7 linked regions of the Coturnix japonica genome follow. Each later gene encodes a partner of the first gene's protein in a complex. Links are inferred from orthologs where the notes say so. Each region holds a gene or a part of one and is shown in the gene's direction. Other genes may lie near its edges. The genes, in order: PLRG1, RBMX2, CWC22, CTNNBL1, SNIP1, CWC15 and BUD13.

Evidence for each region.
Region 2: PLRG1 (region 1) and RBMX2 share a complex: the UniProt entries of both Homo sapiens proteins name them as parts of the minor spliceosome. The link is inferred for Coturnix japonica from reciprocal best matches to the Homo sapiens genes PLRG1 and RBMX2.
Region 3: PLRG1 (region 1) and CWC22 share a complex: the UniProt entries of both Homo sapiens proteins name them as parts of the minor spliceosome. The link is inferred for Coturnix japonica from reciprocal best matches to the Homo sapiens genes PLRG1 and CWC22.
Region 4: PLRG1 (region 1) and CTNNBL1 share a complex: the UniProt entries of both Homo sapiens proteins name them as parts of the PRP19-CDC5L splicing complex. The link is inferred for Coturnix japonica from reciprocal best matches to the Homo sapiens genes PLRG1 and CTNNBL1.
Region 5: PLRG1 (region 1) and SNIP1 share a complex: the UniProt entries of both Homo sapiens proteins name them as parts of the minor spliceosome. The link is inferred for Coturnix japonica from reciprocal best matches to the Homo sapiens genes PLRG1 and SNIP1.
Region 6: PLRG1 (region 1) and CWC15 share a complex: the UniProt entries of both Homo sapiens proteins name them as parts of the PRP19-CDC5L splicing complex. The link is inferred for Coturnix japonica from reciprocal best matches to the Homo sapiens genes PLRG1 and CWC15.
Region 7: PLRG1 (region 1) and BUD13 share a complex: the UniProt entries of both Homo sapiens proteins name them as parts of the minor spliceosome. The link is inferred for Coturnix japonica from reciprocal best matches to the Homo sapiens genes PLRG1 and BUD13.

What each region holds. Positions count from the first base shown.
Region 1 is NC_029519.1:18,056,570-18,060,534, reverse strand, and holds the start of PLRG1 (pleiotropic regulator 1), read left to right. Parts: upstream 1-1,165; 5' UTR 1,166-1,194; coding exon 1,195-1,278; intron 1,279-2,442; coding exon 2,443-2,549; intron 2,550-3,092; coding exon 3,093-3,235; intron 3,236-3,459; coding exon 3,460-3,513; intron 3,514-3,620; coding exon 3,621-3,714; intron 3,715-3,965. UniProt on the Homo sapiens protein: Involved in pre-mRNA splicing as component of the spliceosome. Component of the PRP19-CDC5L complex that forms an integral part of the spliceosome and is required for activating pre-mRNA splicing.
Region 2 is NC_029519.1:1,522,345-1,526,517, reverse strand, and holds RBMX2 (RNA-binding motif protein, X-linked 2), read left to right. Parts: upstream 1-1,373; 5' UTR 1,374-1,422; coding exon 1,423-1,427; intron 1,428-1,509; coding exon 1,510-1,625; intron 1,626-1,773; coding exon 1,774-1,825; intron 1,826-1,903; coding exon 1,904-2,033; intron 2,034-2,155; coding exon 2,156-2,336; intron 2,337-2,750; coding exon 2,751-3,196; 3' UTR 3,197-3,704; downstream 3,705-4,173. Other genes in the region: RAB33A (ras-related protein Rab-33A), read left to right, coding at 840-1,295; SLC25A14 (brain mitochondrial carrier protein 1), read left to right, coding at 4,014-4,077. UniProt on the Homo sapiens protein: Involved in pre-mRNA splicing as component of the activated spliceosome. As a component of the minor spliceosome, involved in the splicing of U12-type introns in pre-mRNAs.
Region 3 is NC_029522.1:13,093,576-13,097,075, forward strand, and holds part of CWC22 (pre-mRNA-splicing factor CWC22 homolog), read left to right. Parts: intron 1-99; coding exon 100-357; intron 358-874; coding exon 875-1,003; intron 1,004-2,025; coding exon 2,026-2,194; intron 2,195-2,582; coding exon 2,583-2,636; intron 2,637-3,445; coding exon 3,446-3,500. UniProt on the Homo sapiens protein: Required for pre-mRNA splicing as component of the spliceosome. As a component of the minor spliceosome, involved in the splicing of U12-type introns in pre-mRNAs. Promotes exon-junction complex (EJC) assembly.
Region 4 is NC_029535.1:8,632,946-8,636,445, forward strand, and holds part of CTNNBL1 (beta-catenin-like protein 1), read left to right. Parts: intron 1-1,394; coding exon 1,395-1,532; intron 1,533-2,186; coding exon 2,187-2,259; intron 2,260-3,500. UniProt on the Homo sapiens protein: Component of the PRP19-CDC5L complex that forms an integral part of the spliceosome and is required for activating pre-mRNA splicing.
Region 5 is NC_029538.1:3,338,362-3,342,617, forward strand, and holds the start of SNIP1 (smad nuclear-interacting protein 1), read left to right. Parts: upstream 1-1,456; 5' UTR 1,457-1,480; coding exon 1,481-1,632; intron 1,633-1,714; coding exon 1,715-1,811; intron 1,812-2,667; coding exon 2,668-3,251; intron 3,252-3,912; coding exon 3,913-4,177; 3' UTR 4,178-4,256. Other genes in the region: DNALI1 (axonemal dynein light intermediate polypeptide 1), read right to left, coding at 1-26, 109-245, 1,246-1,326. UniProt on the Homo sapiens protein: Required for pre-mRNA splicing as component of the spliceosome. As a component of the minor spliceosome, involved in the splicing of U12-type introns in pre-mRNAs. Down-regulates NF-kappa-B signaling by competing with RELA for CREBBP/EP300 binding.
Region 6 is NC_029516.1:165,900,258-165,904,367, forward strand, and holds the start of CWC15 (spliceosome-associated protein CWC15 homolog), read left to right. Parts: upstream 1-1,310; 5' UTR 1,311-1,333; intron 1,334-1,367; exon of another isoform or gene 1,368-1,479; intron 1,480-2,674; 5' UTR 2,675-2,682; coding exon 2,683-2,813; intron 2,814-4,110. UniProt on the Homo sapiens protein: Involved in pre-mRNA splicing as component of the spliceosome. Component of the PRP19-CDC5L complex that forms an integral part of the spliceosome and is required for activating pre-mRNA splicing.
Region 7 is NC_029539.1:4,398,579-4,402,173, reverse strand, and holds the end of BUD13 (BUD13 homolog), read left to right. Parts: intron 1-55; coding exon 56-149; intron 150-485; coding exon 486-591; intron 592-970; coding exon 971-1,109; intron 1,110-1,330; coding exon 1,331-1,515; intron 1,516-1,666; coding exon 1,667-1,748; intron 1,749-2,085; coding exon 2,086-2,179; 3' UTR 2,180-3,095; downstream 3,096-3,595. UniProt on the Homo sapiens protein: Involved in pre-mRNA splicing as component of the activated spliceosome. As a component of the minor spliceosome, involved in the splicing of U12-type introns in pre-mRNAs.

The sequences.
Region 1 (3,965 bases):
GAGAAATGCTTCTAGCATGAGTCAGAATCTGGAACTGCAGGGGGAGCAAGGTATATTGGAAAACATACATGAATATAACAAATATTTGGGGAGCAGGACCTAATCTCCATTAGTTGGCTTGCTGGGTGTGAGATGGGACTTTTCTTTGATGCTTGCAACTGTTACAGCTAGGCTGACACTGTATAACGACTGGATAAAGCCTTATGAACAACCAAGAACATGGCTTAATCTTCTTCTTAAAACGGTGTCAAGGAGGCTTTGTCTCCAAACAGAACATCTTTCTTCGTTGTGTTTTCTTCACTTCCTCCCCAGCTCACATGGTTAATGAGAAACTCTTCCTGAACTCACGTAGTGTTGATAATGCAACAAATCTGCTATGAAGAACTGCGAAAAGAAAGCATTGACCTGATGGTATTCCGGTATCTCTTTGTAGCATTCCGAAATGGTATTCCAGAACATCTCTTTGTACACTGCTTTTGTCCTGGAGAGCTACTTACTGGCAGAGGTGTATGTGTGTGTTTTTAGGAATGAATTTTCATGTGCCGCCTCTTGTGTTTGCTTTGCCAAATCATCTGCCCATGGTGCAACACTCTTTACACAAACCCCATCCTTGTATGTTGGCTCCTTTAGGCTGAACACATCACAGAGGTAATTTGGGCCAAGGGGGAATAGAGCCATCTTGGGCCACTGATAAGCTGTGCCAGTAAATGTGATTTTGAAAGGAATCCAGTTGTTGGCAGCTGATTTAGAAACGTCCTTGGAAGCCGCTGGCGTTGTACATGTCACACTGTGACAGGGTTACTGTAGAATTAGATGTTCAATTAGATGTAAACGTTTGGGGGGGGGGGGGTCTTTAAAAAAAGAGTGTAATTACAGGCCTCTGTAAAATCTAAGGATGCTGTAATAAGTAGCACATGTAAGTGAAGTTTTCTTACAAAACACAGATCTTTCTTTTCTCGGATTGCTACAAAGGTCTCTATTTCAAGGAGGTTTTCCTTTCAAGATGCACTAAAAACGAGCCCGATTCACTCAGCAGACGACAGCACGCAAAGTGCCGAGACTGTAAGTTCAAAACAAAACAAACCAACATATTATTATTAAAACAAACCAAGAACAAAACGCCAGTGCAACACCGCACCCTGGCGTTGCAAGCTCCTCAATGCAGCCCGGCGCACCCGATTTGCGTCACTTCCTATGAGGTATAGAGCAGGAGCCGGACGTGTCTCCATCGCTGTCGGTGGGGAGCGGGGAGCGGGGAGCGACGGCGCCATGGTGGAGGTGAGGGCGGTTCAGTTCTTGTGTTACTGAGTGTTGTTGGTAGGAGCACAGAAGATGCTGTGCAGTTCTCCTACGTAACAGTTCTTTTACTGGGTGTCATCACTGTCCAGAGATATCTATAGTTGTTCACCTCCTGTTGTGGAGGTATTGAGTTACCTATTGCTTTTATTGCGACAAGCAGACATTTGCTACTGTAATTCCTGTTTCTTTTTGCAGTTGCATGGAATTTCTAGTTCCCAAGCCCTATTATAGATGTTCTTTATTTGATATCTAGATTTTACAGGACCGTCCTGAGCTAAAAGTTTTGTGTGGGCCCTACTGAGTTAGGGGAGTATGAAGTGTGGCAGAATGGGGCAATGAGTGGGTAAGCAGAGTCCAGGGCAGGAAAGCAGAGCTTAGTGGAGGAAGCCCCAGCTTAATGGAGTGTGGAGGCTGGGCAGCTGAATGGTAACTAGAGCCCGAAGTTCTTAATGCTTCCACTCTGTGTTGCTCCTATTTGTGACATACAGAGCGAGCACAAAGAGGCTCATACTCTGATTATCACATCTCTAATTATTTATTTATTGTGCCTTGAGAGGAAGGTAGGAATTAAAACCTGAATTGCGCGGTCCTAAACAAATATTCTATATAAGCTAATAGCTTTAAGTTCTACTATTTTGGCCCTGACTGAGATATTAACAATTATTAGCTTTTAGTAATGTGTAATTTCAAAAGGACAAGAGGCTTTGTCTTATTTGATCCCAGGATTACTTCTTATAGTAAACATCACTGTTCTTACATAGGGTGACACTGTGCAGAAACTGATGTTCATTTTTATGGAGGTAGTGCAATAAAGGAATGTTTTCAGAATCAGGTACTTTATTGTTTAGGTATAAAAGCATCTAGAAAACATGGAAGATAAACGTATTCATGTATTTTTAGATGATAGTGCAAATTTTTTCTGGCTTGTCATTTCTGAGAAACTGGGTTTTACTTTGAGCAGGCATTGAATTAAAACAACTAATAGATATACTTGAATCTGTAGTTTCTAAGAGGAGCAGTGTTTGATGGGAATAGTGTTGTATCATATGCAAGTCTGAAATTGCTACTCAGTTTCTTTTTCAGATTTCAGTTTTTCATTTAAACGTGGCTAAATTTATTTAAATATGCTTTCCTTTATTTTAGGAAGTCCAGAAGCACTCTGTGCACACACTTGTGTTCAGATCTTTGAAGAGAACCCATGATATGTTTGTAGCTGATAATGCCAAACCTGTACCATTAGATGATGAAAGGTGAGTGCTGTGGCTGAGTTTTACTTTGTTAGCAATTGTTCTATAGAATCATAGAATCACCAAGGTTGGAAAAGACCTAAAAGATCATCTAGTCCAACCGTTCACATTACTATTAGCTCCCGCTAAGCCAACACAACATCCAGTCGTTCCTTGAACACCCGCAGGGTCGGTGTCTCCACCACCTCCCTGGGCAGCCCATTCCAGTGCCTGACCACCCTTTCTGAGAAGTAGTAGTTCCTAATGTCCAGCCTGAATATCCCCTGCCACAGTTTGAAACCATTCATCTAGTCCTATCACTAATGACAAGAAAGAAGAGGCCAACCCCCAGCTCACTACAACCTCCCTTCAGGAAGTTATAGAGAACAATCCTATCCAAATCAGGAGTTTGGGTGTTCAGTACAATTAGCAGTTAAGGGAACTGAAAAGCATGAAGATTGTAATGTTAGCTGTATGAAAGGTTTCCTGTTTTTTAAAATATTTCAAAACTTAGTAGCAGTTCAAAAATCAGGATTTAATCAGGATTATGCTCTGTTCTTCCAACAGCCACAAAGTAAAGATGGCAGTCAAGCTGCGTACTGAGTACGGCTCAGTATTGCACATGCCTACTCTTAAAGAAAACATGAGAGAGAAAGGAGGCCCAGCCACTGGGGATCCATATGGACATAAACAGTATTCCGGAAATGAAGGTTTGTTATTCCTAGTACCATGTTTGTTCTTTGTTTTCACAAGGAAACAGTAGGAGACTTAATTCATTAGTAAAACAAGCAAGTTTTAAGGTAATGCTAGTGTGTGCTATATTTGGGTATTAGAGAGCTAATAAGGGTTGAGGATGTTGTCAAATTGAGGATGCTTTGCACCACCTACTCTGTTGTACTGTTTTGTTTGAATGCGTTATTTTGTTGGTCTTTAGGAGAAGAACTGGAGTATGTGATAACTGGCACACATCCATATCCACCTGGGCCTGGTAAGTAAAATTCTGTGTTTAAATCAGGTATTTCAGAGTTAAACTGAGATTTTTTTTTTAATTATTTTTTTAATTTTTTAATTTAATTTTGTTTTTTTTTTTTTAAGGTGTGGCTCTGACAGCAGACACTAAGATCCAGAGGATGCCGAGTGAATCTGCAGCTCAGTCCTTAGCAGTATCTCTTCCTGCTTCTCAGTCCAGGTACTGCTTTATTACTTCATTAACATTTGCATAATCTACAAGAACTACAAGTCAAAACAAAGTACTTTGAATATTCAGCTTTATAAAATACCTGAAAACCTGATCTAATGGTTTGCAACCTTGCCCATGGCAGGGGGGTTGGAACTAGATGACCTTTAAGATCCCCTCCAACTTAAGCCATTCTGTGATATGATTTTAAGTTGGTCAGATATCATCTTGGTGTATGCAGTGTTCTTTCTTGGCTGTCATTA
Region 2 (4,173 bases), about 17 Mb from region 1:
AAACCACCTCCCCGTGTGCTCTGACATTGTGTCTGTACTCCTCTCAAGTCACTTGTCTCACCTTCCACCTTCCCTGTACTTCCTCTTTGTACCTCTTGGTATTTTTGCTTGACTTCCTCTTTGTTCACATGGGCAGCTCAGAGGTGGAGGCACATCAGTATTGGGTAGCTTTCTTTGGTCCCATTTTCCTATAGGTCCTTGACCCACAGGACTCTTTCAGAGCCACCTCTTGGTTAATGAGTTGGCTTTACCTTCACAGCTGCCCTGCTGAAGCTGGCCCAGCGTAGCAGCTTCCCTCGCTGGCTCTTCTATCACTTGAGTTTTGAAGTTGGAATCTCACGCTTTAAGCTGTGCTGTGTTGCCCCTCCAGCATACACTGGAATGGCTGAAGGCCTCCAGAAGGGCCTAAGCCTGCAAACATGAGACTCCCATCTGTCTGCAGAGGGCACCTTCCATTTACTCTCCCTGATCAGGCTGGAGCTGCACACTGCCCTGTCTCCATGGCTCTCGGCTCTTTAATCCTTATTGTTTGCCTGGTTCCTCCCCCAGACAGAGCTCCATGCAGGAACGCCGCTCTCTTTGCCCTGCCTCCTTTGTGGATACAGAGCATCATTTCAGTGTCCTCATACAGCACAGCATTAGGTGGGTTGGTGTGTTAGTCTGTTCTGACACGAGCAGTGCTGTGTGCAGTTTGACAGGGATGATGGCTGGGTACACCAACATGGGGCAGGTAAGTCACCGGGCTGGGGCCTTTCACCCCTGTAGCACAGCAATGAGCAGAGCAGCAGCACAGCATCCTGCAGCAGCAATGGCTGCTCACGCCGTGTTGTGCCCCATAGGTGCAGGTGTGGGACACGGCCGGGCAGGAGCGGTTCCGGAAGAGCATGGTGGAGCACTACTACCGCAACGTGCACGCCGTGGTCTTCGTGTACGACGTCACCAAGATGGCGTCCTTCACCAACCTCAAGATGTGGATCGAGGAGTGCAACGTTCACGCCGTGTCCCCCCTGGTCCCCAAAGTGCTGGTGGGGAACAAGTGTGACTTGAAGGACCTGATCCAGGTGCCGTCCGGCATGGCTCTCAAATTCGCCGACGCTCACAACATGCTGTTGTTCGAAACCTCGGCCAAGGACCCTAAAGAGAGCCAGAACGTGGAGTCCATCTTCATGTGCCTGGCCTGCCGGCTCAAGGCGCAGAAGTCGCTGCTCTATCGCGACATGGAGAAGCGGCCGGGCCGGGCGCAGAAGCTAGAGCCGTCACGTGACGCCCACGGTAAAAGCGCGTGTCCGTGCTGAGCGCCGACCAATAAAGCTGTGCGGAGCCCTCGGACTCGTTGCTTTGCTTGGCGCGCATGCGCGGCCGGGGCGGGGGCGGAGGCGGGGGGGTAAGGGGGGCGCATGCGCAGTGCGCGCCGCCGCCGCCATGAAGTAGGTTTGGATGGGGGCTGGGTGAGGGGGGGGTGTGCGACCGGCCGGTGCTAACGGTGCTAACGGAGTGCATCGCCCCCAGCCCGCTGACCAAAGTGAAGCTGATCAACGAGCTGAACGCGCGGGAGGCGGAGCTGGGCGTGAGCGAGGCGGTGTCGTGGCACGCCGAGTACAAGGACAGCGCGTGGGTCTTCATCGGTACGTGTAGGCCGCGATGGGGGGACGGGGAGGGAGGAGAGAGCAGGGCTGTGGTAGGCCCTGTGCTGGGCTCCGTGCTGGGCTCCATGCTGGGCTCCGTGCTGGGCTCCGTGCTGGGCCTCCATCGCTGCCCTGTCTCCCCCCGCAGGCGGGCTGCCCTACCAGCTGACAGAGGGGGACGTCATCTGTGTGTTCTCGCAGTAAGTTCCTACCTGCTCCATCCCCATCTTGCTGTGCCCCTCCAGCCCTGCTCTGTGGCTGCTGATGGTGTGTTCCAGGTACGGGGAGGTGGTGAACATTAATCTGGTGCGGGATAAGAAGACTGGGAAGTCCAAAGGGTTTTGCTTTTTGTGCTATGAGGATCAGAGGAGCACCGTGCTTGCTGTTGATAACTTCAATGGGATCAAGGTGAGTGATGGAGCTGTGTGGCTGCAGCAGCTCCTGGAGCGCTCAGAGCACATCAGAGAGAAGCTCCATCGGCTGCTGGCCCCACAGCACACGCTTTGCTGACTACCTGACTCCTGTCCTAGATCAAAGGCAGGACGATCCGAGTGGACCACGTGGCCAACTACCGGACTCCCAAGGACTCCGATGATTTAGATGATGTCACAAAAGCCCTCCATGCAAAGGGCTGCGGAGTGAAAACACCACCTCATACGTCGTCAGATTCCTCCTTGGAGGATGAAGACACGCCAGCCCAAAAGCAAAAAGGTGAAATGCATTTCTGCCCATCTTTGCCCTGGGTGGGAGGATCTGTGTGGGCTACAGGGACTCTTAGCTCAGCGTACAGCAGGGATAGGGATCCTCTTGAAAACAGATGCAACCCGAATGTCCAGGCTTATCCTCTGTGATCTGCGTCACACTGCCAGTATTTATCTATGATCATTCACCCCCTGCCTCTGGAGATCCTTATTTTGCAGGTTATAGTGGCACTCTTCCTGGAGAAAAGGAGTTGGGCTGGGCTGCAGGGATGTTGCAAGGGGGAGGGGGCAGGACAGTGGGGGACAGGGAGAAGAAAGGCTCCAATAAAGCCTTTCTCTACAGAGCTCTGGTGCTCTGTAGCAGAACTGGTGGGGATGATGCTTGCAGGACTGTCCATCTCTAAGGATGACCTTTTTGTTTCAGATAAAGAGAAGAATAAACATGAACGGCAAAAGCAGAGCTCTCAGGCTGCAAAGAGAGCAGCACCTGCCGAAGAGGCACATCCGAGAATCAAGATTAAAAAGGAGAAGGAAGATCCTGGCTACGAGCGATATGCTGCTGGTGGGGGTCAGCAGTCCTGCAGTGAGTCTGAGAGGAAACACGTGAGCAGGACGCAGCGAGATGAGGAAGAGCAGAGACACCAAAGGTCGTCGGGGAGGAGAGGGGAAAAGAGCTCCCAGGAACACAGAGGGCAGAACAGCTCACGGGAAGAGAGAGGAGAGGTCAGCAGGAAGGGTGAGGGACACAGCAGCTGGCGAGAAGAGTGTTCTGAGGGAAGCAGATCCAGGCACCGGCGGGAGAGCAGCAGCAGAGAGCCCCATTCCAAGCACAGGGAGCGTGGATCCACCAGAGATTCCAGCCGTCACTGAGCCCTGGAGTGAGCACCTTCTGGGCCACAGCTGTGCTCTGTGAGCTGCACCGGGAGCCTGTCTGAAGCCTCCTGCTATGGCCCTAAGGGTACCACAGCTGTGTCTCGTCTCACACACACCACTCTGACCGGTTCACTCCTCAGACAGGTTGCTCTCAGTGCTGTGGGCTGTGATGTGGGCTCTGCTGCTGCCTTGCTCGGCCCTTCTGTGCAGTGGCATCACTCAGACGGTTGTGGAGGGGCTCACGGCACAGTGTGGGCAGTGGGGTGCTGAGCAGCAGGATACGGACACCGAAACTGCCCACGTTGTTCAGGGGGAGCGTCCCTGTCTGCAGTGGGGCGGTGGGTGCTTGCAGGCGGGCACGGTGCTTTGTGCCCCCAGCCCGTCCTGCTTCCTTTGTTTATGTGATGGATATCAGAGGCTGCTGAGCCATCGCAGTTCATGGCGTTTTTTGTTTTAAACTCCTTTTAATAAAAATCGATCCTTTAACCAGAGGAGATGACTGGGAGCACTGCTTGTGTCCGGTTGTGCTGTTTGGACTGAGCATTGATGGCAGCTGACACAGAAATGGGGAGCGCACAGCAGTGGATCTGAGCTGCGCTTTGCTCTCGGGGTGGTTCCGGTCGGTCCCGTGCCTGCAGCGCTCTCCCGTCTCCTCCCCGCCGTTCTCGGGCGGTGCCGCTGGATCCCAATTGCGGGCCGAGCTGCCGGGTCCGCCCGGCTGGGGGGCGCAGTGCTTCCCGTTCCGCCGCGCTTCCGGTTCCGGGTGGAGTTGAGGCAGTGTCCGGCCCGGCGCGGCGGCGCGCCCCGCCATGCCATGTCCGCGCTGAACTGGAAACCCTTCGTGTACGGCGGGCTCGCCTCCATCGTGGCCGAGTTCGGTGAGCTGCGGCGGGTACCGGCGGGTACCGGCGGGTATCGGCGGGTACCGGCGGGTACCGGCGGGTATCGGCGGGTATCGGCGGGTACCGGCGGGT
Region 3 (3,500 bases), on another chromosome or scaffold:
GAATACAGACACCTGTTTTTCAATTCATTTGAAGGTACTCATTTTAAAAACAAAAGATGAAAACATCTTTTTTTTTTTGTTTGTTTTTTAACTTTATAGAAGGATGGAAAGAGGGAGAGACAGATACTATGAAAAGTGGGAGGAAAGAGATTATGATCGAAGGAGGAAGAGAAGACACTCTTCCCCTGATCATAGGAGTCCAGAGAGGTCAACAGTTCAGGGCTCAAATACTCATGAAGAGGCCACTTCGAAGAAGAAGAAAGAAGAAGTGGATCCAATCCTTACTCGCACAGGTGGTGCATATATTCCACCCGCCAAGCTCAGGATGATGCAAGAACAAATAACTGATAAAAATAGGTGAGTTGAAGGTAGCATTAGAATTCATCCTAAAAAACAAAACTATAAAGGGTTTTAAGGAGTGTTGTTATAAATGGGACACTTTTTGAGGTATCTTTTAATCAGGAAAAAAAAATGAGCCATTTTTCTTGTCTTCTTCCTTCTCTACCTGTCTGAGTAAAGCAAAATGCTAGCCAAACAGACAACAACAAAAATAACAAATCAGATTATGATCCTGTCCACTTCAGCTCTTAATAGAAGAGCAGGATACAGAGGATAAATGGGATTTCTTTTCCTAATGCCCTGGAGAAACAAAAGTTGTGGGTTATAACACATATGGGGAACTACATTTTGGCATGTCATGTTGGTTTGGTGGGTTTGTAGTCATTTGATGTATAATTGTGAGCTAGTCTTCATGTTTATACAGTGAATATTTTCTTAGTTATTTTATTTAGTATATCGTATCTTCACATTTTTGTATTTATAACTTTGCTGCCACAAATTTATTCTTTACTAATTTGTGATGCCTTTGTAATAGCTTGGCGTATCAGAGGATGAGTTGGGAAGCCTTGAAGAAGTCCATCAATGGTCTTGTCAATAAAGTAAACGTTTCTAATATAGAAAACATTATTCATGAGCTGCTTCAGGAGAATATTGTTCGAGGAAGGTAAATGTTAAAATATTTGAGCTAACTTTTTTTTATGTTAATATGTATATTGTTCATTCCTGCATCACTGCATGTTTAGTATATGGTTACTAATCTGACCTTGAAGTTTATCTTAGGCTAGCTATATTTTCCTATGCATAGGGGCTCCCTGCTTGAGGAAAGGGGCTGGGAGCAGAGTGGTAGAGGAGGGAGTACATGCTTGAAAGAATAAGTCAGTTGAGCAGATAGTATGTTTTCTTTTTATTTTATCTATATCTACTGATTTTACTTGAATGACTTGAAATTTAAGTGTGCCTGTCTATTTCTTTCTGTGTTCCCGGACTTTTCAACTCTCTCAGTGTAACTGTTATTATCTCATGAGCCCTTTGCTTCTCTTCATTTAGACTCCGAAAAGTGGTCTTTTAAAAATAAGTTGTGTTCCAAACCATAGTTAGGGTGAATGTTATTCTGAATGAAGCACTGAAAAAAACATTGCTTTACTTATTATGCTTTTATCATACCTAGGTATGTTTTTATTTTTAGGGAGCTTTTATGAGAATAAAATTTCTATTTCTTAGAATTTAGTTTTGCTTCTTTGGGTAGTTCATTCTACTGGATTGTAGTTCTTTGTTGTTTATAAAGAACTGCAGGACAGTTGTTTTTTCTCTCACAGATAAGATTTTTTTCAACCGTGTGCAGAAAAAAAACAACAGTCATACAAACTTCAAAGCTCTGAATTTTTAAAAATATGGGGTAATTGCAGGATACAAAATAAATGCTTATTGCTTCAAAATACAGTTTTAATAGAGATAATATCTGATGAAAGAGAAGGTATCAGTTTAAGGATTTCTAAACTTGGGCACATTTAGGCAGCTCATTCTGTAAAACTCCATTTGTTGTTCAGTGAATAACTATTTGAAAATGACTGTATAGCATCTTTATAACTATTCAAACTATGCAATCTTATTTTGTGATACATAATGGATGACAACGTTAAGTTATTATACGAAAAACTGTATTCTTAAACTTATGTATATTTGCAGGGGATTGCTGTCTAGATCCATTCTGCAAGCTCAGGGTGCCTCTCCAATTTTTACCCATGTGTATGCGGCTCTTGTGGCAATTATTAATTCAAAGTTTCCAAATATTGGTGAATTGATTCTCAAGAGGTTGATACTAAATTTTCGCAAAGGATATCGCAGAAATGATAAGGTATGTAAGAAGTGTGAAGAAACAACATGCTAAAACTTGTAATTCTTCTGTTTTAATCTTGTACTGAGTGTATCCAGGTTAGGTATTTCAAAGTAACACTGCCAAGACCTCTGGTTTGTGTTGTATCATTCTGCTTCACCTAACATTAGTACATTAAATAAAGTAGTATTTGCACATCGTGAAAGCTTGGCTACTGATTTCAGCTTGGAAATGTGATGTTCTTTTTATATTTTACTTGAAAGTATGCAGTCCTAATGGTAGCATAATTACTAATACACCAAAATAGTTATTTTCATGACTCAATTTGGCTGTAGTATAGAATGTCTCAGTTACGGGTTTTTCTTCCGTGTAAGATGTTACAGTTTCCCGTTATTTATTTCTTTTGCAGCAACTCTGTCTAACATCTTCGAAGTTTGTTGCACATTTGATGAATCAGAATGTGGTATGTTACTTTCTTTTCACTTGCTCATACTTTATATGGATTTCTACTTATTTTAGCTTCAAGATAGGGGTAGCTCTATATAAACTTCCCCTTTTCTGTAAGTTATGGGAAAGCTGAGTTAATATTTCCTGTTAGTGCTTGCTGTAAGTTGTTGGGAGTTTTTATAAGAGATTTTGTCTGGTAATGTAGCTGTGAAGTTATCATCTCTTGCCAGTGTATTTAACAACTCAGAGCTTCCCAAAACTGTATATGTTTGGGATAGTATTCTGATAGCTTCTGTTAGCAAGCAAGTGAATTCCCACAGGTGCTAAGTGGAGTTTTCTTGCAGCACTGTAATCTCGTACAAAGATCATTAAGTCTGTAGGCAGGATCAGACTCAGTTGCATTTGAATCAAATCTGTATCTTTCCCTAATCCACCATCTTCTGTGTTAGAATTACCAGGATTTCTATCCCAGATGTATAAAATAACTCAGTTTGAAACATTACTTCTTGAAGTTATTTTGAAAGATTGTGCACTGCTAAAACTAGTTTTGGTTAGCTAAGAATTATTTTATTTGATCTGTATAAATGAATTCTGTTTGTTTTTTCACTAAGATGTTTATTAGAATGTAGCCACACTTCAGAAGTATAGTCATGTTGACTGTGAAGATGGTGTAAATATAAATAGCTAAATTATGAGTAAAATGTTGACTACCTCTTAATTAGTTTTTTTCCTGTGTATTGCCTTCATTGTCTGATTAAACAACTATTGTGACATCCTCAAAGAAATGTTGTAAATTCTAGTTCTTTACTGATATTCTTTCTAAAGGCTCACGAGGTTCTGTGTTTGGAAATGCTCACCTTGCTTCTTGAAAGGCCTACTG
Region 4 (3,500 bases), on another chromosome or scaffold:
TGCAGTTGGCTTTACAACACTGCTAACTAGACACTGTTTCGTAAACTTAAGTCATTCTCTCATTGACAAACTGGGTTCCTTAGGAGGAATGGGAGGAAAGCATTTCATCACCTGTGCTTTCTGTTTTCAATTTTGGGAGGCAGCAGTAAACAGCTCGAAGTCACTGAATCAGATCAGTGTATGGTGAGTGCTCACTGTGCTGTCCAGTATGTAGGGTTAATCTTCTTCTTGTGCCTGAAAGACTCTCTCTGTGATTACACCAAGGGGTTTGGTTTGACGAAACAAGAAGATCTGGTGGCTGCAATCAGCTTTGGTGCTGGTGACCTTGTGAGTGTGTTTGCCTGGAGCATGTGTGCGTGAAGGAAGCGCTCTGTGAGCGTTCCAGGTACAGTGCTCTCACCGGTGATGGCTCTAATGAGAAAATATTGCTCTGCTTGTGCGTGCCCACCTGCCAGCCTGCTGCATAATAAATCACGCGGGCTGCAGCGAGCTCGCAGGGTGTGACAAGCTGCTTCCTTTATCTAAAGGCAAAAACAAAAAACAAAGCCCCGAAATGCAAAAGGTCACGTGTGCCATCAGTGATTGCACTGTTGGTTGCTGAGAAAAGTCAGGGTGGGCTCACCCTGTGACGTGGATGGGCCCCTCTCTGCAGGGGGCTGCTCAGGGCTCGTTGCTGGGTTGTTTTGCTGCTGTTGTGAGGCAGCAAACGTTCTGAGCCAGGAGAATGGAGCAGCCTCCTGCATTCTGCCTTTGGGCTCTGTGTGAGCCTCTTAGCAAAGCACCCTGTATGCAGAGAAAGGAAGAACCGTGCCATGGAAGCAGAGCTCTTCTGCTGGTTGCAGATGGAGCCTCAGCCCCATTGCTCTGCCCAGCCAATGGCTTTGGAAGAGAATGGCTGCGAGTACTGAAACTGCACTTGTGCAGGAGTCAAGACCTGGTTTCTTATTCAGCAGTGAGTGATGAAGTTCAGAGGCCGGCAGGGCTTTAAGCTGCTGGAGTCGTGTTCTGCACTGCTGAACAGCTCCCTCAGATGGCCAGCAAAAGAGCACAGGTTTTGTTCCACCTCGACAAAGAACTGGTTTGTTTCCTATTCACAGCCTCTGATCGCTTGGTTTAGAAACGTAACTTCTGTGCTGAAATTAAGGTGTTAGTTTGTGGATGGACACCCTTCACACCAGCAGGGGCAAAGCCGTGCTCAACACTGAGTGAAATGTTCTGTGGATTTAAATATATTATCAAAAGAAGTACTTCTTTGCTAAGAAATGTATGGGTGTTAATGTGTGGGGAGAACAGAGCACTTCCTAAGAAACTGCAGCTATCGCCAGCATTTCACCACGTGTAATGGGAAGGTCTCTGAGACAGCCTTGACCCCTTTTTTCTGCACTGCTTTCCAGGACATGGTGCGCCGAGGAGAGATAATAGATGATGACATGGAAGACGAATTCTATCTCCGCCGCCTGGATGCTGGTCTCTTTGTTCTACAGCTCATTTCCTACATCATGGCAGAAATCTGTAATGCCAATGTCCCCCAGGTAAAGCTATATACAGAGCTAGTGCATCACCGTGCTTCCATCTGTGATACAAACAAGACTAATCCTTGCAAATATTGCGATGGTTGCATGATATGTTAACAAAAAATATTGTATGATACAAGCAAGGCTATCCTTGCAAATATTGCCTCTTAGTCTTGTCTTAATTCCTTCTTTTGGGGAGGAATCCTGCTTGTTGCCTTGTGTCCATGCAGCTTCATGAAGTTACAGCAGTTAGGAGGGCAGTGGTAGGTACAGGAGCTGATGGTCATCACTGAGTTCATGCAGACTGCCGAGAGCAAGGTCACAGCTAGAAATTGGAAGGCCCTGTTTATATCACTGCTGGGAGTGCTGAAAGGGGGTCTCTCTTGGAAGCCTTCTCAGACACAGATTGCAGATGGGGCTTTTCCTCACCTCTGTGAAATACTGCATCATTTTCTGGCGTGTGTGTGTTGGGGTTTGTGACTGTATTTTGTGGTTGCTTGTATGTGTGCCATGTACCTTCCTTAATGCTTTAAGTGCTCTGGGACTGTGGGCTAGCAGGGCAGAACTGGGTTTTGTGGTTCTTGTGGTTTCCACTCAGAAAGAGCAGAAAAAGTGGGGTTGTGCATGGCTTTATGTTCTGCTGAAGATTCCTTCCTTCTCTTCCCTGATCAGATTCGTCAGAGGGTCCATCAGATTCTGAACATGAGAGGCAGCTCCATTAAAATTGTTCGACACATCCTGAAGGGTGAGTTGAGATATTCCTGTGCGTGTTTCATTCTGTACCAGGGACAGTTTGGTCATCACTTTGTAGGATGAACCTTCACACGTCATTCTCCCTGACTTCAGCAGCATCTCTGAGCAGCAGTTACCTTGTGAGGTCTGACCAGGGCTGGAATCCCTGATAAGAAGCAAGCATTGCCTTGGAGTTAGGATGCTTGCTGTTGTCTGCTGTCACGTCACGCTACAGCACTTCATGCTGCTGTCAGCTGCAGACTGACTGGCCCACACTAGAATACTAGAGTAAATATTTAAGGGAAGTGTGTGTGCATGCTAGAGGAAAGAATAGTGGAGTCGCATCTTTTATTAACATGGCCCTGCTCTTTACCATCTGCACAGTATTGGTATCCGTGGTGTATTTGTCTTGTTCTTAGTGTCAGATTAATATGGATTACAGCATTAAAGTATCCTCTGTAGCATTAAAATGTAGCTGTTGTGATTTGCAGTCCTGATTCTAAAGTACTGCTTGTTACTTTGAATGCTTATGTTGAATTAGAGTAGCGCTTATTTGAGCTGTGTCTCTCACCTGTCGCCTGCTGTCCTTCAACAGAAGCAGCAGTTAGACTGAAGGGGAAGGGACGGGGCTTGGGGCTCTCAGTGCAGCCCAGCCTGAGCTGCCAGCACTGATCCATCACCCCTGGGAGCACCTCTCAAGGAGGCTGTGCAGGTCTTAGAGAGGAGGATTTCTCTCATGAAGAGAAGGGAAAGTTGTCAGCATCCTTGGGGCTCTGGGCTTGGGGCTGTGTTGTTTCAGTGTCTCTGCTTTCTTTGGGAATAGCAACCATAGCAGGTATAAAAAAAGAGTGATTTTTTGACAGCATGAGATTACCTGGAGCTGCAGGTAAACTCTTTGGCCCTTATCCCTCCCCAGAAAGTTCAAGCAATATTTGATGATTCCTGCCTCCAAACGCCCGTTTGCACCTTAGAACATGGTGCATTTCTACTTCCATACATGACTTAGGCCATGGGTACTTGAGAGCCTTACCTGCACCTTATGTGCCAGCCCACCTCGTGTTCCCCACTGTGCCTGTTGGTTCACATGCAGCTGCACAAACACTTCATCCAATTCCTTCTTTCACAGACAGTGACTTGCATTGTGAAACTTTAGTAATGGTTTTATCATGCCTGCCGAGCTGCTTAGAGAAAGTACAGATTGTACAGCAGTGTCAGCAGGGATGTGTTCGCTTCCTAAAGAGACCTTAAATGGCG
Region 5 (4,256 bases), on another chromosome or scaffold:
ACAGCCGGTTATCCTCCTCCCATGACCTGCACCGGAAAGCAGCAGCGATGGAGCTCGGCGGGGCGGTCCTGAGTTAAGGCTCTTGTTGTTCCCCCCTCCCCGGCTCACCGCGGCGGTAGGATGGCGTTCAGGATCTCCTGAGGTTCCTTCGTGGAGGCGGCGGAGGCGGCAGCAGTGCGAGGTCGGGACGGAGGGACAGGGCCTGATGGCGGGGAGGCCTGTGGGGTTCCCTTCAACGGTGAGGCCTGAAGGGAGAAAGCGGTGTGAGCAGGATGGGTGAGGTGTGAGGGCTCCCCCCGTCCCATTCAGAATCACAGAAACACAGAATTATCAAGGTTGGAAAAGACTTCACTAGGAGAGTGGTGAGGCCCTGGAACAGGCTGCCCAGGGAGGTTGTGGATGCCCCGTCCTTGGAGGTGTACAAGGCCAGGTTGGACGGGGCCATGGGCAACCTGATCTATGGGGTCTCTATGGGGATCTATGGGGTCTCTATGGGGGTCTATGGGGTCTCTATGAGGATCTATGGGGTCTCTATGGGGATCTATGGGGATCTATGGGGGATCTATGGGGTCTCTATGGGGTCTCCTGGGCAACCTGATCTAGTAAATGTGTATGTTTGGTGGCCCTGCTTGGCAGGGGGGTTGGAACTACATGATCCTTGAGGTCCCTTCCAACCCGGGTCATTCTGTGACCTAGAAGATCATCTAGTCCAACCATTCCCAATACTTCCCAGCTAAATCATATTCATCAACACAACATCCAGATGTTTCTTGAACACTCCCATGGTCAGTGACTCCACCACCTCTTTGGGCAGTGCATTATAATGCCTGACTACCCTTCCTGAGAAGCAATACTTCCTAATATCCAGCGTGACTCTCCCCTGACACAGCTTAAAACCATTCCCTCTACTTCTATCATGGATTAGAGGCTCACTACAACCTCCCTTCTAACTTCTAACTAAGGGAGTTATAGAGGGCTATAAGGTCTCCCCTGAGCCTCTTCTTCAGGCTGAACAACCCCATCTCCCTCAGCTTCTTCTTATAAGTCCCCATTATGCTCCAGACCCCTCACCAGCTTCATAACCCTTTTCTGAATGTATTCTCAATGTCTTTCTTGCAGTGAGGTGCCCAAAACTGAACACAGGGGGACAATTACCTCCCTGTTGCTGCTAGTAACACTGGTTTTGATACAATATAGGATTCCTTTGGCCTTCATGGGCCATAATATCGGTTCATATTCACTCACCTCTGGTGATCGCTTCTCAGTACGGCGACTCACCAGCATGGGCGGGTTATAACGCAGCAGCGAATCGGGCGGTGGGATCATGGCGGCTCCTCGGTCGCTATGGTTATAAACGCCGCTCCGTTGTTTGTTCTAAAGGCGCATGAGCGTTAGGTAAAGATGTAGTTCCGGGTGGTTGAGAGAGAGGTAACACGGATGTGAAAACGTAATTCCGGTTGTGGGGGGAGTCGGTAGCAAGATGGAGGCTGAGAGTGAGAGGAGGAGGAGGGAGAGAAGGAGGGGGGAGATGGCGGTGAAGGCCGAGAAGCGCAGCCCACGGAGCTGCGGGTCCCGTTCGGCTTATGGGAGCCAATCCCCCCCCATTGAGGAGCGACGGGGCAGGAGCAGCAGGTAGGAGGCCTCATAGGGCCTTATTACGGCCCTGTATCGTAACCCTGAGGTTCTGTGCATTTCTTGTGTACTTGATTTAAAGGTCGCCTAAAAGGAAGAGTAAATCCGGCCGGAGGAGCAAATCACCGCGGGGGAGGAGGAGCAGGAGTCCGCACCATGGAGGTGTGAGGGTAAAGCAGGTAAATGGCGTTGGGAGAGGCCAGGCCCCACAGATCCCCATAGAGACCCCACAGATCCCCACAGAGATCCCATAGACACCCCATAGAGCCCCATAGAGACCCACTGAACCCCATACAGACCCCATGCAGACCCCATAGAGCCCCACAGACAACCCATAGATCCCCAAAGACACCCCATAGATCATGTTGCCCATGGCCCCGTCCAACCTGGCCTTGAACACCTCCAAGGACGGGGCATCCACAACCTCCCTGTGCAGCCTGTTTCAGGGCCTAACCACTCTCCTAGTGAAGAACTTCCCCCTAACATCCAACCCAAATCTTCCCTCTTTTAACTTAAAACCATTTCCCCGTGTCCTGCTATTGTCAGCCCTTTCCAAGAGTTTACTCCCCTCCTGGGAGTAAGTTCCCTTCAGGTATTGAAAGGCTGCAATGAGGTCACCCCGCAACCTTCTCTTCTCTAGGCTGAACAAACCCAACTCCCTCAGCCTGTCCTCATAGGGGAGGTGCTCCAGCCCCCTGATCCCTCTAGAATAACTCTTAAGGAAGAGAGAGTCTTACAGTGTAACATCTCCTTGCTCTCTGCTTCGTGTTTTCCTGGAAAGAACTGAGTGTTTGTACCTTTTAGTGAGCCCAGCCCCTGTTATTCCTGTAAGAAAATGAGTATTTGTGCCTTTAAGTGAGCCCAGCCTGCAGGCTGACCCTGAAGGCTGATGTTATGATGCATTGCTCTCTGTCAGCCTTGCATTGTTGGGCCCAAGTTGTGGGAATTCACTTTGGAAGGAAATAAATAAATCTAGATATACACGTACCATGTTACAGTCTGTGTTTTTCATGTGTTTTCTGTCTTCTTCCTCAGGAACGAGACGATCATCCTCACAGAGGAAATGAAGAGAGAAAGCAGAGACACACGTCAGAGCAAGAACACAGACGAGATAGAAGCGGTGACAGAGACAGGCACAGAGATCACTCAGACAGGAGGAAAAAGGAGGAAAGACCTGGAGGTCGAGGCCATGAGAGAGAAAGAGATGTTCAGAACATCCGTGAGCAACAAGCAGAGAGGGAGTTCTATAACGAAAGAAGACGAGAGCATCGACAGAACAACGAGGGGAGCGGTGCTGAGCAGAATCCAGAACACAAACAATCTGATAACAAACCAAAAGATAAAGCTGTAAACAAAGAAAAACCAAGCTTTGAACTGTCTGGTGCCCTTCTGGAGGATACCAACACTTTCCGAGGCGTTGTGATTAAATACAGTGAGCCCCCAGAAGCTCGGATTCCAAAGAAACGATGGCGTCTCTATCCATTTAAAAACGATGAGTTCCTGCCTGTCATGTACATTCATAGGCAGAGTGCTTATCTCCTGGGCAGGCACCGCAGGATAGCAGATATCCCCATTGATCATCCCTCCTGCTCAAAGCAACACGCTGTGTTCCAATACCGGTCAGTATCGCTCTGTATCCCTCTGGTAGGTGGGGATTATTTGGTCGCTTGCGTGCAAAGGGAATCAAAGAACGTATTGGATGTGCACAGATTAGAAAATGCATGTTTGCTCAATGGTTTTAGATAGGTGGAATTTAGGTATGGATGTAACATATATGTAATTCCTTTTTGTTTAACCATAAGCAGCCTCGTGACTCTTAACATATATATAATTCCTTTTGGTTTAACCATATCTAGACTTTTAGTAAGAAACACAACACAACAGGATGAAATACAGAACTGCCTGTATATCTGAATTGGAGTTATTAGCAGGTGGGATTGGCAATAAAGAACGTTTAAAGGAGGGTTTTTCATTTGTTCCTTCCCAACAAAGGCTGCCGATCTCCTTTATAAACAGCAGGGTTGTGTGCTTCAGGAGGCAGAGCTGCTCTCTTAAGGAACAACCATCTGTTCTGCTTCAGGATTTACTATGTTATATGATCATAACTTTAAGGGGTGAAGCAGTCTGTCAGAATCTTGAGTATTTCCGTGCCCTGTCTAATTATTCTCATTGTACTTGCTCAGATCTTTGAAGTATGGTTAAGTATTTACAACAGTGGGGCTGATGTGTTGAAAAATCCATGTGTTATCATTGACTTGATGGGTTGTTTTTGTTTTCTAGGCTTGTGGAGCACACACGCGCTGATGGCACAGTTGGCCGCAGGGTAAAGCCGTATATCATTGATCTTGGTTCTGGCAATGGTACTTTTCTAAACAACCAGAGGATTGAGCCTCAACGTTACTACGAACTGAAAGAAAAGGATGTATTGAAGTTTGGCTTCAGCAGCAGGGAGTACGTCCTTCTCCATGAATCATCTGATAAATCAGAGGCCAACGCAAAGGACGATGATGAGGAAGAGGAGAAGGAGGAAGAGTCCGATAGTTAACAGACATGAAGGCAATTGGGGATGGGGGAGCAGGGGAGAGGAATCTTTTACAATAAAACATGCATTGGGATGGAGATGT
Region 6 (4,110 bases), on another chromosome or scaffold:
CTCAGGGACGAGCTTGTGATAGAGAGCGGCAGAACTGTGTGCTCCTCAGTGCCACCCATGCCCCCAGCACCCTCCTCCCTCCCTTGCTGAGTGCCTTTCAGCTGACATCATGTTGTGGGTGGGGAACTGCTCCAGCACAGCCCCACGGGCAGCAGCTCCCCCAGCCCTCCTGCCCCACTGTAGGCTCCTCTCCACAGGCTGCACCCTGGCCTGGGGCTGCTCCGCCTCCAGGACTCTTCCACTGCTGCACAGTGGGCTCCTCCATGTCTGCATACGGAGATCACAGAATCACAGAATGACCCGGGTTGGAAGGGACCTCAAGGATCATGTAGTTCCAACCCCCTGCCTGGCAGGGCCACCAAACATACACCTTTACTAGATCAGGTTGCCCAGGGCCCTGTCCAACCTGGTCTTGAACACCTCCAAGGACGGGGCATCCACAACCTCCCTGGGCAGCCTGTTCCAGGGCCTAACCACTCTCCTGAGTGAAGAACTTCCCCCTGGTATGATAGAGTGCGAGTGCGCGTTGAGGATGCCTAAAATATCTTTCCCTCTTTTTAATCTCTAAAACATGTCCCCCTTAGTCCTGCTATTATCAGCCCTTTCGAAGAGTTTACTCCCGTCCTGGGAGTAAGTTCCCTTCAGGTATTGAAAGGCTGCAATGAGGTCACCCCACAACCTTCTCTTCTCCAGGCTGAACAAGCCCAACTCCCTCAGCCTGTCCTCATAGGGGAGGTGCTCCAGTCCCCTGATCATCTTCGTTTCCCTCCTCTCGACCCTTTCCAAAATCTCCATGTCTTTTTTGTACTGAGGGCTCCACACCTGGACACAGTATGAGAGATGCGAGATGTGCCTGTGGGCTGCAGGGGGATGGCTCGTTCCCCTGTGAGCCTCTCCTGGGTGCTTAGGAAGGGCCTAGTTCAGGTTCTGTGCTTATTTTTGCAGGGAATTCTTGCTGACTCGTGGATTTTTCTCTGTTGAGAATAGTCACAAGGTCTCTTCCTCATTGCAAAGCCATTGGCAGCCATCAGGAAGCAAAGGCAGACAGTGGAGCAGGAGCTGTGACTGAGCACAAACAGCCAAAGAACCAGCGGGGTGGGAGGCAGCCGGGAGGAGCTGGGATGACTCTGTAAGCACACAGAAAAGCAGCAGCACAAGGGTTCTATGGCAGCACAGCAGGGTGTGTGTACTGCTCACAGTCATACACGACTTTAAAGCACAGCTCACACGCAGTGCTGCTGTACCTCAGGGCGGACAGCAGGTGCCACTCAGGCACCAACAGCGTCTATTTCCACTTCATTATCGAACATGGCGGACTCAATTCCGCACTGAGGTAACAAGTTTTTCCGCCTTCCATCTCTATGGTAGTTCCTCCTTCCGCCGCTCCGCTCTGTGGTGGCTGCGCGGCGCCTTGTGGGTAGAGGGCGGGATGATGGCGGTGGCGTAGGGCCCGGCTGCTCAGCGGGAGGAGACCCCGAGGTCAGAGAAGGGGGATTGAAGGGATTAAATCGGGGCTTCTGAATGTGGAGGGTCGGCCCTGGGGTGGTGGGCAGCCTGGGGGGACACCGGGAGGGAGGTTGAGGCCGTGGGGCGGCCTGGACGGGCCTGGGAGAGCGCCGATGGAGGCGGCTCAGCCGAGCCGGCGTTGTGCGGCACTGACGGGGCTGCTCCAATGCTGCGCTGATGGAACCTGATCGGAGCAAACCCCTGGTTGCCCCCAGCAGCTCAGGCTGCACAGGGCTCATCCAACCTGGCCTTGAGCAGGGATGGGGCACACAGCTCTATGGGCAGCTGTGCCAGGGCCTCACCACCTTTTGTATGTCTCTTATTTAAGTCCTTAGGCTGTGCTTATGGATGTGTGTAGTTTCGTTTAACAGACTGAAGATGGCACTGATGGGTCATCCAGGGTGGTTGGTTGGTTTGATTCTTTTGTTTTGTTTGTTTCTTGGTGGACTGCCCTAAACTTTTGGCTCTATGGTTTGGGTCTGCGTGGCCTCCAGCTGCTTTGTGCAGTGCTGAGCACTTCTTGGCATCAGTTATATGGGAGCCATAGTGGTGAGGCTGGTCTCTTTTCAGTAGTGTGTTGGGACAGGACTAGGGGTAATGGGATGAAAGTACAGCATAGGAAGTTCTGCACGAATGTGCACAAGAACTTCTTTACAGTGAGGGTGACGGAGCACTGGAACAGGCTGCCCAGGGAGGTGGTGGAGTCTCCTTCTCTGGAGATATTCAGGACCTGCCTGGACGCCTACCTGTGCGACGTGGTGTAGGGAGCCTGCTTTGGCAGGGGGGTTGGACTCGATGATCTCTAGAGGTCCCTTCCAACCCCCACAGTTCTGTGATTTCATTATTAGATCCTGTGTTTTTTTCCAGAGGGGAAAGAATTACTCTTCTACCAAGATATAAGGATAGGAGACTGGCTCCTGGCATTTTATCCACTTCTATAAACATGACCTCACATTCTTGATTGAGTCTCTATCATCTTTCAGGCATGTTGGAAAAGAAGCTGTCAGTAAAAGAAGCTCTTAAGCTTTAAGGCTCATGCACCAGTTGATAATTTGTATTGTGTAGTGGGATTTGCTGTTGCTGCAGCAGTTCCAAGAATGACGTAGCTTCTGGTGAATGGCTTTCACTTTAAGTTATAGTAATGACTGTTTTTTGCCCTTGACTCTAGTAACTAAAATGACGACAGCAGCGAGGCCAACGTTTGAGCCTGCAAGAGGAGGGAGAGGAAAAGGTGAAGGAGACTTAAGTCAGCTATCCAAGCAGTATTCCAGCAGAGACCTTCCCTCTCATACTAAAATCAAATACAGGTAAGTATCGTTATTGTCTGTCTTATAGCAAAGCAGCCTGGAGCTGTTTTGTTGTTTTCTTTCTTTGTGATGTGACCAACACTCTGAATTTCTTTCACGTTAGATATTTGTTTGCTTGACATTAAGCAGACACAGAAGCAGGCTTAGGAGATTGAGTGGGTTGCAACTGATTTGGAAGGTTTAGTTTTAGTGGTGTCAATAACTGCTTGTGGAAGGGAATCAGGAGAAGGTAATCTTTACAGATTAAGCATTTCAGGCAATGGAGTGAAAAGAAAAGCATTGGGAACATACAGAGACAGCTGAGCTAGAAAGGTGGTGTGACTTACAAGATGGGATAGGAGGTATGAAGTTGAGTATGTCATATATTGGCAAAGAACCTGGGGAAGAGCACTAAGAAGAGGCAGGGCAATGTGTAACAGCACTCAGGCATTAGTAAGTATTGGAAGAGCTGATGTTAAACACTAGAAGGGTTCTAGAAGAGCCTGTTGCTTTAACTGGTGTGAAAGATAATGGGATTTTATATGAATACTATCCTGTGTTTGGAATGCTTAATAATTTATGTTCTTTTAAGATAGCATGAAATCTGGAGTCAACATGCCACAGGATTTAACTGAGTTGTGTCAGCCTGAAAATAGTCTTTTTTTCTAGCTTAAACTGTTGCTTGGGTTTTGCTTTCTTAGTGCAGATATTTACCCTTTCACTGCTTCCCTTCCACCCATTTGAATAACTTTGAAGGTAACATGGATACGGGAGGTGGGATGTTCAGAGATCACCAAAAGCAACAGCACAAAATGTGCTATTAAGGGAAAAGTGGCTGGTGGTCTGTCTCTTTAAACAGAGCGGGAGTGTGGAGCACCAGTCTGTTGTTCTGAAATGAGTGTGTGGGAAGAAATACATACAGGAATATACGATGTGTGTGTGGTAACGAATCCCTTTGAGTGAGTGTGTATGTGTGTGTGAAGGGGCATTAAGCATCTTAAGTTCATTCTCCCAAATATCAAATACAAAGTTGTCTTTGCTAATTTGCCAAGGGCTGCATAATTGCAAGAAAGATTTGGTATTTCAGTCCCACTCTCCCGTGCCTCTTTGACAAAAGGCCTGGGGGGGATTTTTGCAGCCATGTCAGGGATTCTGAATTCAAGTTTTTAATTGTAAAAGCAAATGAAATGCTTCAGCATAAAGACAGCTTGTGCACGCAGTGTATTTCTAATGACTGGAGCCTGGGTTTCTTTCAGACACTCTTATTTCCAAACCTGAGTTCACAGCAAGGTGAAAGGAATTGCTGCATGTTGTTATT
Region 7 (3,595 bases), on another chromosome or scaffold:
CTCTTAAATGTGTTTAGAGCAAGTCTTCATGCTCCAATTTCTCTCATCCTCAAAGGGCTCTGCCTTCTGGAAAGGGTCAGCGTGGTTCAAGGAGTCCCTCCAATCTCTCAGATCATCGCTACCCAGATGAGAAGGGATCTCCCAAGAAGGTAAGGGGTTTGTCTTTCCGTCTGTGCTGAAGATTGCTTCCTCTGATAGCAATCATTAACAGTGTGATGGCTTACAGATGGTAGAGCAGATATATAGCTTGTAAATGCAGCTGTGCCACACTGTCAGTTTGCCATAAGACCACGTGTGAGGTAGATGGAAGATGAGCTCTGCATGAGCACTCTGTATTTCTGGAAGTCTGTGGAAGCTGTTTGCAAAGATGGCAGCAAAGTGGCTTTGTAACAGAGCTGCCTCTCGTGTAACTTCCCCTTATCATACCTGTGAGTCACTGGGCAGCTCTCAGCCAGCAGTAAATGTGATTCTTGTTTGATTTGCAGGCCAAGATGATGTCTGGGGTCAAAGCTGGTTTGGTGTCAGCTGACGTGCTGCGGAAAGAGCAGCAGGAGCTCAGGAAGCAGGAGAGAAGTAGCAAGCACTTGGAAGGTAAAAGTCTGAAACCAGTGCACAGACATCAGCTTTTAGTCTGCTTTTGGCTGCCTGTTAATGCTGTATCAGGGCATGTCTTAAAATGCTGGTAGTAAGGGTGTTGATGGAGAGTGTCTGTGTTGGCTGGCATCCAGGCATGCTGATGAATATACACAGGTAAAAGCCACTGGGTCTCTAAAATAGAAATTTATGAGTGGTGATTTCAAAGAGGTGCCAATGAGACAATTGTGAGGCTTTTGTGTCTCATCTGCCCCATCTGCTATTCCTGATCTGAAGGAGCAGGCTGTTACACCTATAGCTCATTGCATGAGCTATGGAGTGGTTTGGAAACTGAAATATTCCCACGTGAGTGACTCAGGATATCTGTTATCCCTAGAGGAATCCCGACACACGGAAACCATCTTCCGCGACAAGTCAGGCCGCAAGAGGGACCTTGTGCAGGAACGTCTTGAGCAGAAGCAGAAAGATGAAGCAAAGTTGTTGCATGATGAGCAATATGCCAGATGGGGAAAGGGGTAAGGTGTCTTGGTGACATGTCACTTTACAGGTTGCAGACTGGGGGTTGGCAATGAGTTTTGTGCCTGGGACCAGGTTATTTTGTGTGGGATTACCCTGTCTGTTGCTGGGTGCTTCTCAGGGATGCTACACACAGTAGATTCTGATCAATACTACAATTTGAGCAGATGGCAGTAAATTATTCCTTAGTTTTGAGGTGGTACTTTGTATGTGTTTTTAGATTAGCACAGGAAAGGCAGCAGCAGCAGAATGTGGAAGATGCAATAAAAGAAATGCAGAAACCATTGGCCCGTTACATTGACGATGAAGATCTGGATCGAATGCTGAGAGAACAAGAGAGAGAAGGAGACCCCATGGCTGAGTTCATCAAAAAAAGAAAAGCCAAAGAGAACAAGGAGAAGAAAGGTATGGAAAGCTGTGCTGGTGCAGGTTTTAATGCCCAAGGAGCATAGAAATGCAGCTGCTGTTCAGTGAACAGTGTGAGGTTGCTGTGGCAGCTGAGTCCTGAAGATTGCATTGTAGTAACCAATGTCTGTATTGCTGTTTTTGTCTCTAGAGAAACCTAGGTACAGTGGACCAGCACCTCCTCTCAACAGATTTAATATATGGCCTGGGTATCGCTGGGATGGGGTGGACAGGTAGGTATTCCTGATACACTGATGTCATTGAATGGTAGTAAAACTAAATGAGCTTTTGCCTCAGAGAGCTTACAGTGAGTGAGATGCAACTTATTCAACCTTAACACTTCTCATGGTTATGAATGGCTGGTAGGGACATGCTTGTCTGGGACAAAAGGGAGCCAGGTTCTGTTCTGATCTGTTGTGGCACTGCCTGCTGTTTGCCACAGCTCAGAGTGGAAACTCAGCTGGAGGTGTTGATGCAAAAGTAGTGGCAAACATGTGATGTCATTTAAAAGCTTTGTGGCTTTAGTAGATGTGCACGGTAGCCCATGGTCTTGTTGGTGTTATTTTGTAGGTCCAACGGATTTGAGCAGCAGTTCTTTGCCAGGATGGCCAATAAGAAGGCAGTTCAGGAGCTGGCATACAAGTGGAGCATTGAAGACATGTAGATAGAAGAAATAACCATGTGAAACAGCACGACTGAATTGAGATCTGCCTGCTACCACTGCCAGAGCCAAAAGTAACGGCTCCTCTGCCTGGACCAAGCACTGTTCTTGGCATTCAGTATCCCAGTGGATTGTCTTCTTGGAAGCAAGGCTGTGTTTAGAGGAGAGCTGCTGGAAAAGGATTTTCCTGCCAGCCAGAAAGGACCAGTGCCAAAAACTGGAGTGGCTGCTGCCCACAGAGGAACACTTCTGCTCCCTGGTGTTCCTTCATGAGGTGCTGCAGACACTGGTGTCTGACCCACTTATTTCTTTACTAATAAACTGTAGAAACTGTGTTGAAATGTTCTATGCCAAATGCTTTGTCCTCTGAAGGCAGTTGACAGGTCTTCAGATGTCCTAAATCTCAGGTTTATTTCATGGTGGAAGCATGCTGGGATTTAAGTCATGGAGGGTTAATCCTATCTGGTGTGTTGGCCTATTGCAGCACACGGTTGTGGTTTCAGCTATGGCTGAGTTCTTCCAGAGGGTGTTTTTTGCTCTGAAACAACTTAATACTGTGAGCTGATTTACCTGTGGGCTCATGTTATGTCTGCCCCATGTTCTCCATGTCCTTGCTAATGAGCCCAGAGAGCTTCTGCTTGTTCAATGTTGTGTAACTCTTAACCCTTCTGGTTCCTGGAGTCTTTGGCTTGCAGTGAAGTTAGCACAGCAGAGCTTCCTGTAGCCCTTATGGGAGCTGTGCCAGGTGGGTCAGTATGTGGCAAGAAGCTGCTTGCTGTACATATAACTCTAGTTCTCTACTAGAAATGGCTGAATGAACAACACGCCATGTTATATTTGACAGCAAAGTCTTCAGAAGCTCCAGCAGCTCCTTGGGGGTCAATTTCTTGTGGCAATAAACACGCAGAGGCCATTTAAACTGTTTCCCTTGGCCATTATTTTCTTCAGAGTAGCTAATGGTCATGGATTAGTCCCTACAGCTTTCTCTCTGGACAGCCTTGCTGATGGCTCTTAGCGCTGCTGCCTGGGGGCTCGCTTCAGCACGAAGCATAACCTCTCTCTTGTGATTAGATTTGTCCAGCTTGCAGCTGGAGGCCAAGCAGAGCGCTGCGCTCCATCCCTGATTGCAAGAAAGCATTTCTAACTAAAAACAACGGGTTGGTAACAGACATTGTATGGAAGGGTTACATAGCAACAGCATCGGAAGGTTGTGAGCCTGAGATGCTCTACCAATGAGTGTCACCACTGTACCTCACAACTGAACGCCACCGCTGCAAGAAGAAGCTCCCAAGCTGCTCCACCGGACCCTTTTGTTTAGAGAGCATGGATCTCTTTCTTTATTGTCTTAAGCTGTTTGTTTGGTCTGTTATCTGAGCTTCAGGTGGCAGTTTATTGATGAGCATCCAGATGAAGTGAAGC